Mus musculus: one gene and its partner. The protein of the gene in region 1 purifies or fractionates together with the protein of each later gene. This does not show direct contact. Links are inferred from orthologs where the notes say so. Each region holds a gene or a part of one and is shown on either strand. Other genes may lie near its edges.

Evidence for each region.
Region 2: the proteins of Slamf6 (region 1) and Sh2d1a purify together in Homo sapiens (co-immunoprecipitation; 5 studies listed by BioGRID and IntAct, with this or other methods). This does not show direct contact. The link is inferred for Mus musculus from reciprocal best matches to the Homo sapiens genes SLAMF6 and SH2D1A.

Annotation. Positions count from the first base shown.
Region 1 is NC_000067.6:171,915,780-171,920,880, reverse strand, and holds the start of Slamf6 (SLAM family member 6 isoform 2 precursor), read right to left. Parts: upstream 3,420-5,101; 5' UTR 3,174-3,419; coding exon 3,089-3,173; intron 1,630-3,088; exon of another isoform or gene 1,525-1,629; intron 63-1,524; exon of another isoform or gene 4-62; coding exon of another isoform or gene 1-3. UniProt on the Homo sapiens protein: Self-ligand receptor of the signaling lymphocytic activation molecule (SLAM) family.
Region 2 is NC_000086.7:42,500,627-42,505,865, reverse strand, and holds the start of Sh2d1a (SH2 domain-containing protein 1A), read right to left. Parts: upstream 3,302-5,239; 5' UTR 3,144-3,301; coding exon 3,007-3,143; intron 1,047-3,006; exon of another isoform or gene 974-1,046; coding exon of another isoform or gene 972-973; intron 545-971; exon of another isoform or gene 521-544; coding exon of another isoform or gene 519-520; intron 1-518.

The DNA of each region.
Region 1 (5,101 bases):
CATTGTTTCGCTAGGTGGGATTTTCCCATTTTGGTTTGCTATGTAGCCCAGTTTGCCTCAGCATCCTAGACTGGAATTAAAAACATGCACCATCACACCTGGATGTCAAGCTAGTTTCAGAAAAATGTTTTCTTGATTACGATGTATTAATTATATGTAGTAATGGGCTTCATATATTTTTAGACACACATATATTTTGATTTTATTTACCCTCTTTATTTTCTCTTAACCCCTTCCCACACCTTTTGATTTCCTTCTTCTGAGTTAATTCAGTCTTACTCTTCCTTCCTTCCTTCCTTCCTTCCTTCCTTCCTTCCTTCCTTCCTTCCTTCCTTCCTTCCTTCCTTTCTCTCTCTCTCTCTCTCTCTCTCTCTCTCTCTCTCTCTCTCTCTCTCTCTCTCTTTCTTTCTTTTTCTGATAAGCCAATGAGTTTCTTCGGGTTACTTAGAGGAGCATAGATAAAGGGCTATGTACAGAGGCAAGGACACCTTACACGTGGCCACACTACCTAGGAAAATGTCTCATCCTCCCCAACCAGCCATTAATCACTTCAAAGTCCTGAGGGAGGGGTGGGCCTGACTGGTCTTGACACGAAGGATTGGTCATCCTACATGGCAGGATGGTGTTAGGCCTAGTCTTGTGCAAGGCAATAGAAGCGTACTTGCTGTGCATTGAAGAGTGCAACTGCCACATCACATGGTGGATGGGTTAGTTTTGCCTCCAAGGGAATGAGTTAAAGGGAATGAAGCGGGCTGGGGTAATGCATAGTTGGCAAAGTGCTTGCCACACAAGCAGGACCACCTGAGTTCAGATCCCAGTAGCCAAGTAAAAAGCTAAGTGAACTGATCTATTGCTCTAATCTCAGCACTGGGGAGGAGGTTCCCTGGGGCTGACTGGCCAGTCAACCCACCAAATGAACAAGCTTCAAGTTCACTGAGAGTCCGGTCTTAAAAACTAAAGGCAGAGAAAAAGTCATGAAAGACACACGGAACAAGTAAACCCCGGACATGCACACAAACGTTTTTCAATATGGCTTATTTTTGAGCTGAGACTCTCATATGGAATCAGGATGTGTCTCACCTACCTGAAAACTTGTAGTGAGTGAGACATCTCCTTCTTCTCAGAGAGCATCTCTTTGTCCTACAAACTTGCCCCAGTGGTCTTGTCTTTCCCCAATCCCTCCGAATTCTTCCCTCCCCCTTTTCCATCTCCCTCCCATGCTTCTTTATTAGAATCCTTCCCTATTTAACGTCTCAGATCATTTCACCTATTCCAGAAAGTTCTTCCTCAACACCCAGTCCAGAGAGGTTCTCCTATTTTTGGTGTCCCTGCTTACTTCTGCCCTGGAACCAGACTCTCCACTTTCCACCCTGGTAAGCACGGTTCCACTCCACTGAGGGGTTTTTGGCCACCTGCATCTCTCTCTGGCAGATGCAGTCAACTGTGTTCTTTTCTTCCAAGCCCTCCCCCCACAGCTGTGTGGCAGTAAACTGTTACTTAGGCTCTGTTTTCCTCTTCTGATCCACATCCGCACACGGGGACCGAGCCCGATATGTCACAGTCTTGTTAAAAGAAGAATCCTCAGAGATGTGGAGGAGGGACACCCAGAAATTATCCAGCTTTATAGAGGTAACAGAGTGAGGTTAAAAGCTCAAGTCACTGGCTGGAATCAGGCTAAGAAAAGGCAACGTGGATGGATGGGAGTAAAAGAATTCTCATCTTTTTCTGCATCTTTTATGCATTTTCCAAAATTCTGTCCACATTCCTAATCCTCCTAGTTTGACGTAGTCTCTATTCCCAGCTTTAGCCTTGTGCCTCAGTTTCCACCTGCTTCCAGGAAATTTCCTCTTGGCCATTGCATTGATAACATAAAACAAATAGATCAGAAAAGGAGCCGACCTTCCTCCTGTGTCAGCTCCTCCATCCTAATTCTATCCCTATCTTTGACTGTCCAGCCTACGACGCAACGTTAATGTTCTCCCTCCTCTCTCTTTGCTTTATTTTTTCAAGATTATTTGTCCTAAGCCAGTGCACATTTTACCTGTTTATAGTTTATCTTCCCTGCCAAGACGTTAATTCCGCAGAACAGAAATTGTGTTGACTTAGTTCCTGAAACGCCCACAGTGCCGTGCATTCAGTGGTCATTTAGTGAATGGTTTATCAAATGACTTAATGAACCTTGCTTTCTTTTTCTTTCTGTTGTCAATTTGTCTAGATAGCTCTATATCTGCAGTATGTCTTGGTTTGTGTGTGTGCATGCACACAGGTGTTTGTTACTGAAAGTTTTAGTCAAGTGATTTGTTTTTATTTTTATTGGTTTTTTTCAGCTACCTGATGACTAATAGAATTTTCAAAAGTTATTTAAATTGCCATAGTCTAAGTTACTTGTAGCTATTAATAGAATAAATTCACAAACACGTTATGGACATCTAAATGTAATGCATGTTTAATAATTAGCTCATTTTCTGGAATAAAATAAATGCTAGGCTACCTATTGGTTCTTTTTTTTTTTCTTCAATGAATTCTCTCGGGGCTAGGTCTGTGTTAGTAGCCATTGCTTGATCTCCTGTTTTAGAACACTACGCTTCAGTCCAGATAGGCACCCTCTGAGTTCTTAAAGACAGTGAGAGCTTTCCAGATAGCAGGGAGAAGAAGCAGGCTCAGTCAATCCCTTCCTAATTGCAGTGTGAAAGCGTTGGTGGGTTTTCAGTATCTGAGCGAAGAGTGAAGCTCGGGAAAGATAATGAAGCCCCCTGAAGTCGCACAGTATCACAGTAGTTAAATTGTAGATCTTTTTCCCGCTTAAACTTATTTTTGTACCACAATACGCTGGTCACGAACAGTCCTGACTTACAAAGACTCATTTTCCATATCTCAGAAAACACTTCCCTTCCCCTTGGCCCCCAGCCGAAGTGTTTGCTCTGAATCAGTCCCGTGGCAGTCTGCGGGAAGCAGTTCGCTAGGACCACGGTGAGCTTTCTAAGTCTCTGAATAGAGAACTGGGCAGTCAACCTGACCAAGAGGAGCAAGGCATTCCAAAGAAGGAACTCACTCAGTGACTCAATCAGTTTCCACAGACGTTTTTTACCTGAGCCGAGGCAGAAGACAAGTGGAAAGAGCCAGACCATCCTCTGACAGGCGGAGTCGGGTGCTGGAGCCCTTGAGACAGCCATTCTTTCATAAGCTTGTCGCTGAGACTTTCTGTTCCCCTATTGATGAGAGCTCTTCCTCTATGTTAGCAAACCTTTGGTTGTCGTGATTAACTTCACACTTGGCTTACAAGAATATCTTTTGTAAGCTAAGACTCTTAGCAGTAGGGAACGTGGAACTTGAACGGGCCATCTTCTGTAACCAGGCAAGACTTCTGGTGGAGGGACTGGGACACCAACCCAGCCACAAAAACCTTCTACTTATGATTTGTCTTGCCAGCAAGATGTGCTGGGGTAAAGGTGACACAGAAATTGTGGGAGTGGCCAATCAGTGACTGGTCCATCTTAAGACCTATGCCAGGACGGGGAGCCCACTCCTGATACTGTGTGGAGAGCCATGAAGCAGAGGCTGGATAGCCCAGAGACACAACAAACAAACAAACAAACAAACAAACAAACAAACCAACCATAGCAAAACAAATCTGCTATACTTGAGGCAGGAGCCTAGCCCAGTTGTCATCAGAGAGGCTTCACCCAGCAACTGATGGAAACAGATGCAGAGATCCAGAGTCAAACATCCTGTGGAGCTTGGGGAATCTTGCAGAAGAGGTGGAGGAAGGATTGTTGGAGACAAAGGGGTCAAGGACACCTCAAGAAAACCTACAGAATCAATTAGCCTGGGTTCATGGGGCGCTCACAGAGACTGAAGTGGCAACTAGGGACCCTGCATGGTTCTAACCTAGGTGCTATATATATATATATATATATATATATATATTATATATATAATGATTATGTAGCTTGGTCTTCTAGTAGGACTTCCAACAGTGGGATAGGGGGCTGTCTCTGACTCTTGCCTGATTTTGGGACTCTTCCTCCTATTGGGTTGCCTAGTCCTTATGAGGGGAGGTACCTAGTTTTATTGCAACTGGATATGCCTTGTTTGGTTGATATCCCTGAGAGACTTGCTCTTTTCTGGAGCGAAAAGGAAGAGAACTGGATGGAGGGGGCTGAGGGAGGTGTTGGGGGAAGTAAGGGGGGAGGGGAAAGACTGGGAGGGAGGAGAGAGGGAAACTGCTGTCAGGGATGTAATATATATGAGAGAAGAATACCTTGAAAAAGAAAGGAAATACCTTGAATGATTTTAACTTAGAAATTTTTAGAGAGACTTAAATCGTGTCCTCTCTACGCACTTGAGAAAATGTTCACCTTGTCTGTGCCATCTTCTGTAATGCTTGTCAGATCTTACTCGTTTATAATGTGGCTCAGTTGTTATTTTTTTTTGCCCCAATCCCTGTGGTTCTGACCTCGGAAGATTCGGATGCTGGAGGCTTGGTCTCCAGTATGTTGATGCAGATGTGGTGGCAACTTTGAGAAGGTCCAAGTAGAAAAGTATTAGGTCATTGATGGTGCTCTGAGAGTGGGCTGTCAGGTATGCAAATGCCTTTGAACCACCCCCACGCCTACAGATAACCCCTCATCCGTGCACCTGTCAGTAACCTCAAAGAACTAATCCGGACTTGTGAGGGCTGTTTCTTTGTTTTGTTCTCAGTCCTATATGAGGTGATTAGAGATACTTGCTCAAATCTCCCCAGGGGGGGGGGGGGAGTCACAATTGGTGCCTGAACCGGGAGAAACAAAACAAAGTTGTGTCTGAGAGGAGGGGTCACATGACCCTCTGCTATGTGTGAGACACAGGCTACAGTGCATGATCCAACCGAAGGTGGAACATCCATTCGGCAATCCGTATATGATTACTCTTCTCTGGTTATATGGGAACTTGTGCCTCCTTGCTGTAGTGCCAGTTGTGTGTCTGATATGAGTAAGACATGCAACTGAAGCCGATGGACATCTTGGAGGGGAAACCCAGGGTGGCTGTCTTCCTCTATGGTATATGGTTGCATATCCCCTTTATGAATGTGGCCTGTGATTCAAGTACAGGAAAGCCCCCA
Region 2 (5,239 bases), on another chromosome or scaffold:
TTTGAACCATACAATAAAAATAGAGTAAATTGAAGTTTACAAAAACCTTCGTGGTTAATGAGAATAAACAAAACATAAAATAAGGTGGTACTGATTAAACAGACACTATTGTGGGTTTTTTTCAAGCATATATGATTTTTTTTTCTACTCTAAATCCTACAAATCAGTATTTTGAGTAAGGAATGTAGATTAGGATCCAAATAACATGTTGCACGTACCATGTAGTGCCAATAAGAGAGAATAAAATGTTTGTGTGTAGCAAAAGGGGCACTCAGCTCAAAACAAAACAAAACAAAACAAAACAAAACAAAACAAACAAAACAAAACCCTGAAGCACTTATCAAAGGCAAGAAAAGCATTCCTTCCACAGTTGTCTGGCCATAACCTTGAAAACAACAGACCATCATTTTAAAGACTGGAGGAGAATTCTCCACTTCTCTATTTTCATAGGGAGAGGTTTTCAAAGAGAAGTTAGTCAACAGTAACAACAACAAAAAACAAACAAACAAGCATCTTACATTTATACAGCATCCCCGGTGAGTGAAAACCAGAAGGCTGAGAATTTCCTTACATGGTTCCGGCCTACATACCAAAATACTAAGGTTCCTTCTCTTCAAGATTTCACTTACAGCCATCTTTTATAACAGAGGAAACAACAGGTTTCTATTTTACACGGATGTAAGGTGAAGCCCCAGAGAATTTGAATGACTTCCTAGAGCCCCCACCCTGGCTTCTTGGCAGCCAGATGCCCTTCATAGTGAAGAGCATATGCCTGAACAGTTAGTCGAATTCCAAACTGTTTGCTGAGTGCCTATTATGTACCAGGATATAGTCCTGGTAGAGGCAATGTTTGCTCCTTTGTGAAGGTAGTTTCGTGGTAGAGCCCATATATAAGTAAACAAACTTATATTAGCATGTTTAAAGTTCCTTGAATAGAAGAAATGGGATAGCAACCCAGAGAGGGCACTTACATTTGTGGGAATGATCAAGAGATGCAATGTTGAACAGAAACTGGACAATCCTGAGTAGGGAGCAGGCTTAGTTACCTTCCGGGGTGACCAGGTGGGAAGAAAAATTCAAGTGTGAGCTGTACTGTCTCCAGCCCTCTCTCCCCTATATAGGCTTCATGTGAACCTTCTGGTTAAGGAGCATGCTCCTTCTATTATCAGTGTGCCCAAAGCAGCCCGTCTCACTCACCATCCTTCATCTTTTGACAAGTTAAAAATAACTAAGGATTGTCATTGGCTTCCCTAGCCCTTCTTAGGGTTCCACTTGGGAACATAAAGGTCCAAGCCCAGGGTTGGGCATCTAGCTTAATAAAAAAGCATTTTTCAGGCACATATAAAATTCTGGATCCTGTCCCCAACACTGAAAAATGATTTTTCCATATATTTACCTTGAAGCCTTTATGATAAATGTATTTAGCATGATCTTAAAAACTGACAAAAATAAGGCTTGGACATTTTTTTAAAAAAATCAATATACAATGACAATCCTCTCACACCAGCCTCAATTTAATCTTTATTTTCTGGCCCAGAGAGTACGTCAAATTTTTGCAGTGTATCATCATGTACAGAACTCACTACCAAGCATTTTTGTTTTGCTTTCATGTAGACTCTACTGTATTAGAGTGAGGTTTTACTGGGATATATGTATAAGCATACAGTATATATGTGTGTGTGTGTGTGTGTGTATATATATATATATGTGTGTGTGTATGTATGTGTGTATTATGTGTGTGTATATGTGTGTGTATATATATATATATATATGTATATATATATATATATATATCCTGCTTACAGTAGTGCTTGAACTGGGTCCTTCTGTAGACTGCCTCAAGGAGTACCGGAATAATTTGTCCAAAAAGAGACTAATAATAAACCAGACTTCCATTTGCTGAGCGTCAAGCCCAGTGTTCATTTGTCTTTTTTTTTTTTGTACATGGAGGTATTTAATCTTCATTGACCCTTAGAATATGAATCCCATTTAAAATCAATGGCTAAGAGATTGGTGTTGTGAGATAACAACCTTTTGAGTCTGACTACAGTAGGATTTGCTCAGGGAGGTTGTACAGAGCCAAGATGCAGCTGCACCTGGTTCAAAATGGAGTAAGAGGCTGAGACCAGTCTAGGCAAAGCTCAAAGTGGGATAATTACAATGATGTTTTCTCCCTCTCTCTGTTCTTTAAAACTATTCTCACTCCTATCATTTACGGGACACAGCACGTTTTAAAACTCATTATGCCTCTTATAAAACAAGGCAATTCAGCAGCACCAGAAAGGTGCCCCTACTCTTGCATACACATCCTCTTCAGCACTGTACTGCTTTAGTGTTGTTGGCTACTGTTTTTTAATAGGATCTTATACTATGTAGCCCTAGCTGGCATGGAACCGGCCCATGTAAAACCAGGCTAGTCACCTGAAACTCACACACATCTGTCTACCTCTGCCTTCCCTGGGCTGCATTCTGAAAGCAATGGATTCCATTTCCTGGCTAACCACTTCTTCAAGCATTTGCTAGATGCTTTTCTTTTAGGGTACCATTTTCAGTCACATTTGTAGAGAATGATAGAGAAAGACCTTCCTTTGCCTTACTTCATGGCCCAGAATACAAATAGTCCAACTTCCCGGGGCTCCACCATCATGGTGTCTACTTGGAATCAGAGCCGAAGTCCAGAGTATGGGTCTTTCTCAAAGTAAAGGTAAGTTCTAGGCCATGTTTTCCCATTCTGAAGGGTATTCAGTGAAGCTGCCACAAACGCACTGGTGAAATGCAGTTGATAAAATCCGCAGTGAGGGACGTACGTACAAGTACTGCCCACCACATCCCTGGGCTGAGCCCTGGGACCATACGTCAGAGCTGGAAGAGTACTCAGTTCCTGCTGCCTGTATTCCCTAGGTACCTCTGCCAAAAGCTGTCATCCCCTGCCACTCCTCCCAGCCCTCCCCTGAAAGGGCAGGCTACCCATGCTAACAACCTGCCACTACCACGAGATATACTCACAAAACACACAGGCAGTACACGCCAGGGACACTCTCGCTGTCTCGCAGCAGATAGCTTCCATCCAGCCCGGTAGCGAGTAAGAGCTTCTCCCCGGTCTCCCTGCTGATTTTGCCGTGGTACACAGTCACTGCATCCATGCCTAGCAAACTCTTTGATGGGCCCAGAAGAAGGATGGTAAAAAGGAAACTTTGCTGCTGCTGTTGCCGCTGCAGTGGCTTACTGGGCAGTATTGAGAGAGAGAGAGAGAGAGAGAGAGAGAGAGAGAGAGAGAGAGAGAGAGAGAGAGAGAGAGAGAAACACCCTAACAACAGGATGTTGTCTACCTGCCTTAAAACCTCTTCTCACACTTCAATTCAGGCCAGCTCAGCAGTTTAACAGCTTCAAACTTGTCATGGGTTTGATCATCTATTCTCCAACAAAGGTTTGTGGTGGGGGAGGGGGCACGCTGAAAAGGTGAACACTTGCAGTATTTGAGCTGTGCCAGCAACGCAAACAGAGCTTGCACAAAGATGAGAAACTTGCTAGTGCCTTTGTTCTTGTGTAGTTCCTGCAAACTTCGAAGCCATTGACAATGACTTGTCTTAACGAGTGAACAAAAGAATTGGTGATAGAAGTGAATGGGACGTGTTCATCATGAGGGGCAGAAGCAGACTGACAAAATAAAAGCATAAAAGCAGTCAAGCTACAAAACCACAGCAGAACATGGCTGCAAGGCTTCCACAGCATCACCAAGGGCTACTGAACTACAGACTTTGGGACTAGATGGTCCTGAAACAGCTTTCTTTTCTTCAATGCTGATGATGGAATTCGGGGCCTCGCAGATGAGGTCTTCTATCCCGAAGCCATATGCCAAATCCTTGAATACACTTAGGCCAAAACAAGTATTTTTACCTTAATGTTTTGTCCAAAATCCAAAACTATGAAAAAAATTGTCATCATATTAAAAAAAAAAAAGTGTAGATGGATCTAGCTAAGGAGCTTAAGAAGACTAAATTCTTTTGTTGGTACTTCTTTGTTTTTATTATTATTAAAATCACAATATAATCACAGCATTTCTCCCTTCCCTTTTCACCCTTGAAACCCTCCCATGAATCCCTCCCTGCTCTTCAACAACATTGCTATTGTATTATTGTATTATTGCATGCATATATGTATATACGTGTAATTCCTAAACACATCCAGTTGTGCCTGTATGGTGCTATTTGTATGTATGTTTTCAGGGATAGCCATTTGGTAGTAGACGACCAATTAGTGTGCTCTTCCCACGGGTGACCACTTCTTCTACTTCCGATTTTACTCAGCTGTCTGTAGTTCTTCCTGTAGAGCTGCTGGTTTGTGGGCTTTTTCTGTCCAGTTTGGTCTGTCCATTGGTGTCCTGTGTGAACTTCTATATACCCTTTGGCATATGGGGCTAGGCCAGAATCATTGTGGATATAAAATCCATTTTACATCATCGCACAGGTGTTGATAAATGTGTTGTAACTTCTATTCTCATACATAAATGCCTACCTACATCAATGTTAAAAACATCAGAGTTTAGCCTAACCAGGACTCTATTTAGAAATCAGTTATAATGATGGCATTTTAAATATGAAAAGAAAGAAAGGGGTAATCTTCTTTTATTAAGGCATACGGACAGTAGCCCACCTAGAGTGTAACTGCTAGAACATTCAGTGTTCCATAGGTTAAAAACAAAACCTAACCTCATTTTTTTTGTCTCTGAACAACCCTGAACAAATCATCTACAAACACAGGCACAGAGAAACCTGGATCTGACGGAGCAAGCATCCCATGCATTCTTTTCTTTCTGTTTCATTCTGCATTGCTAAAATAGCACGCTTGTCAAAGCAGCCAGGTACAGTGGGCTTCAGCACAACGAAAATCACATCACAAGAGAACAGTTAAATTATACGGTAATAGTACAACTCTCACATCCACTACCTTATTGTCATCTCACAAGCAAACTGACAGGTGAGCCAGCCCACCAGTGCAGTGTTGATGAAAAATACTGACACCCTTGCTCTGCTGCTATGCAGGCACTAAGCTTGACTTTGGCAAATTCAAACTTCACACAGAGCTTGAAGTGTAGAGAATAGAGGAACTGAAATAGCTTTCTTCCTTCCCTGTCCCTGTACCCACAGTACAGGAAGACAAAGATCACATAACAGAGAAGGGGAGATAACAGTGACACCAACAGACAAAGAGCTAAGGAATGGGCCCCATTTATGAGAGG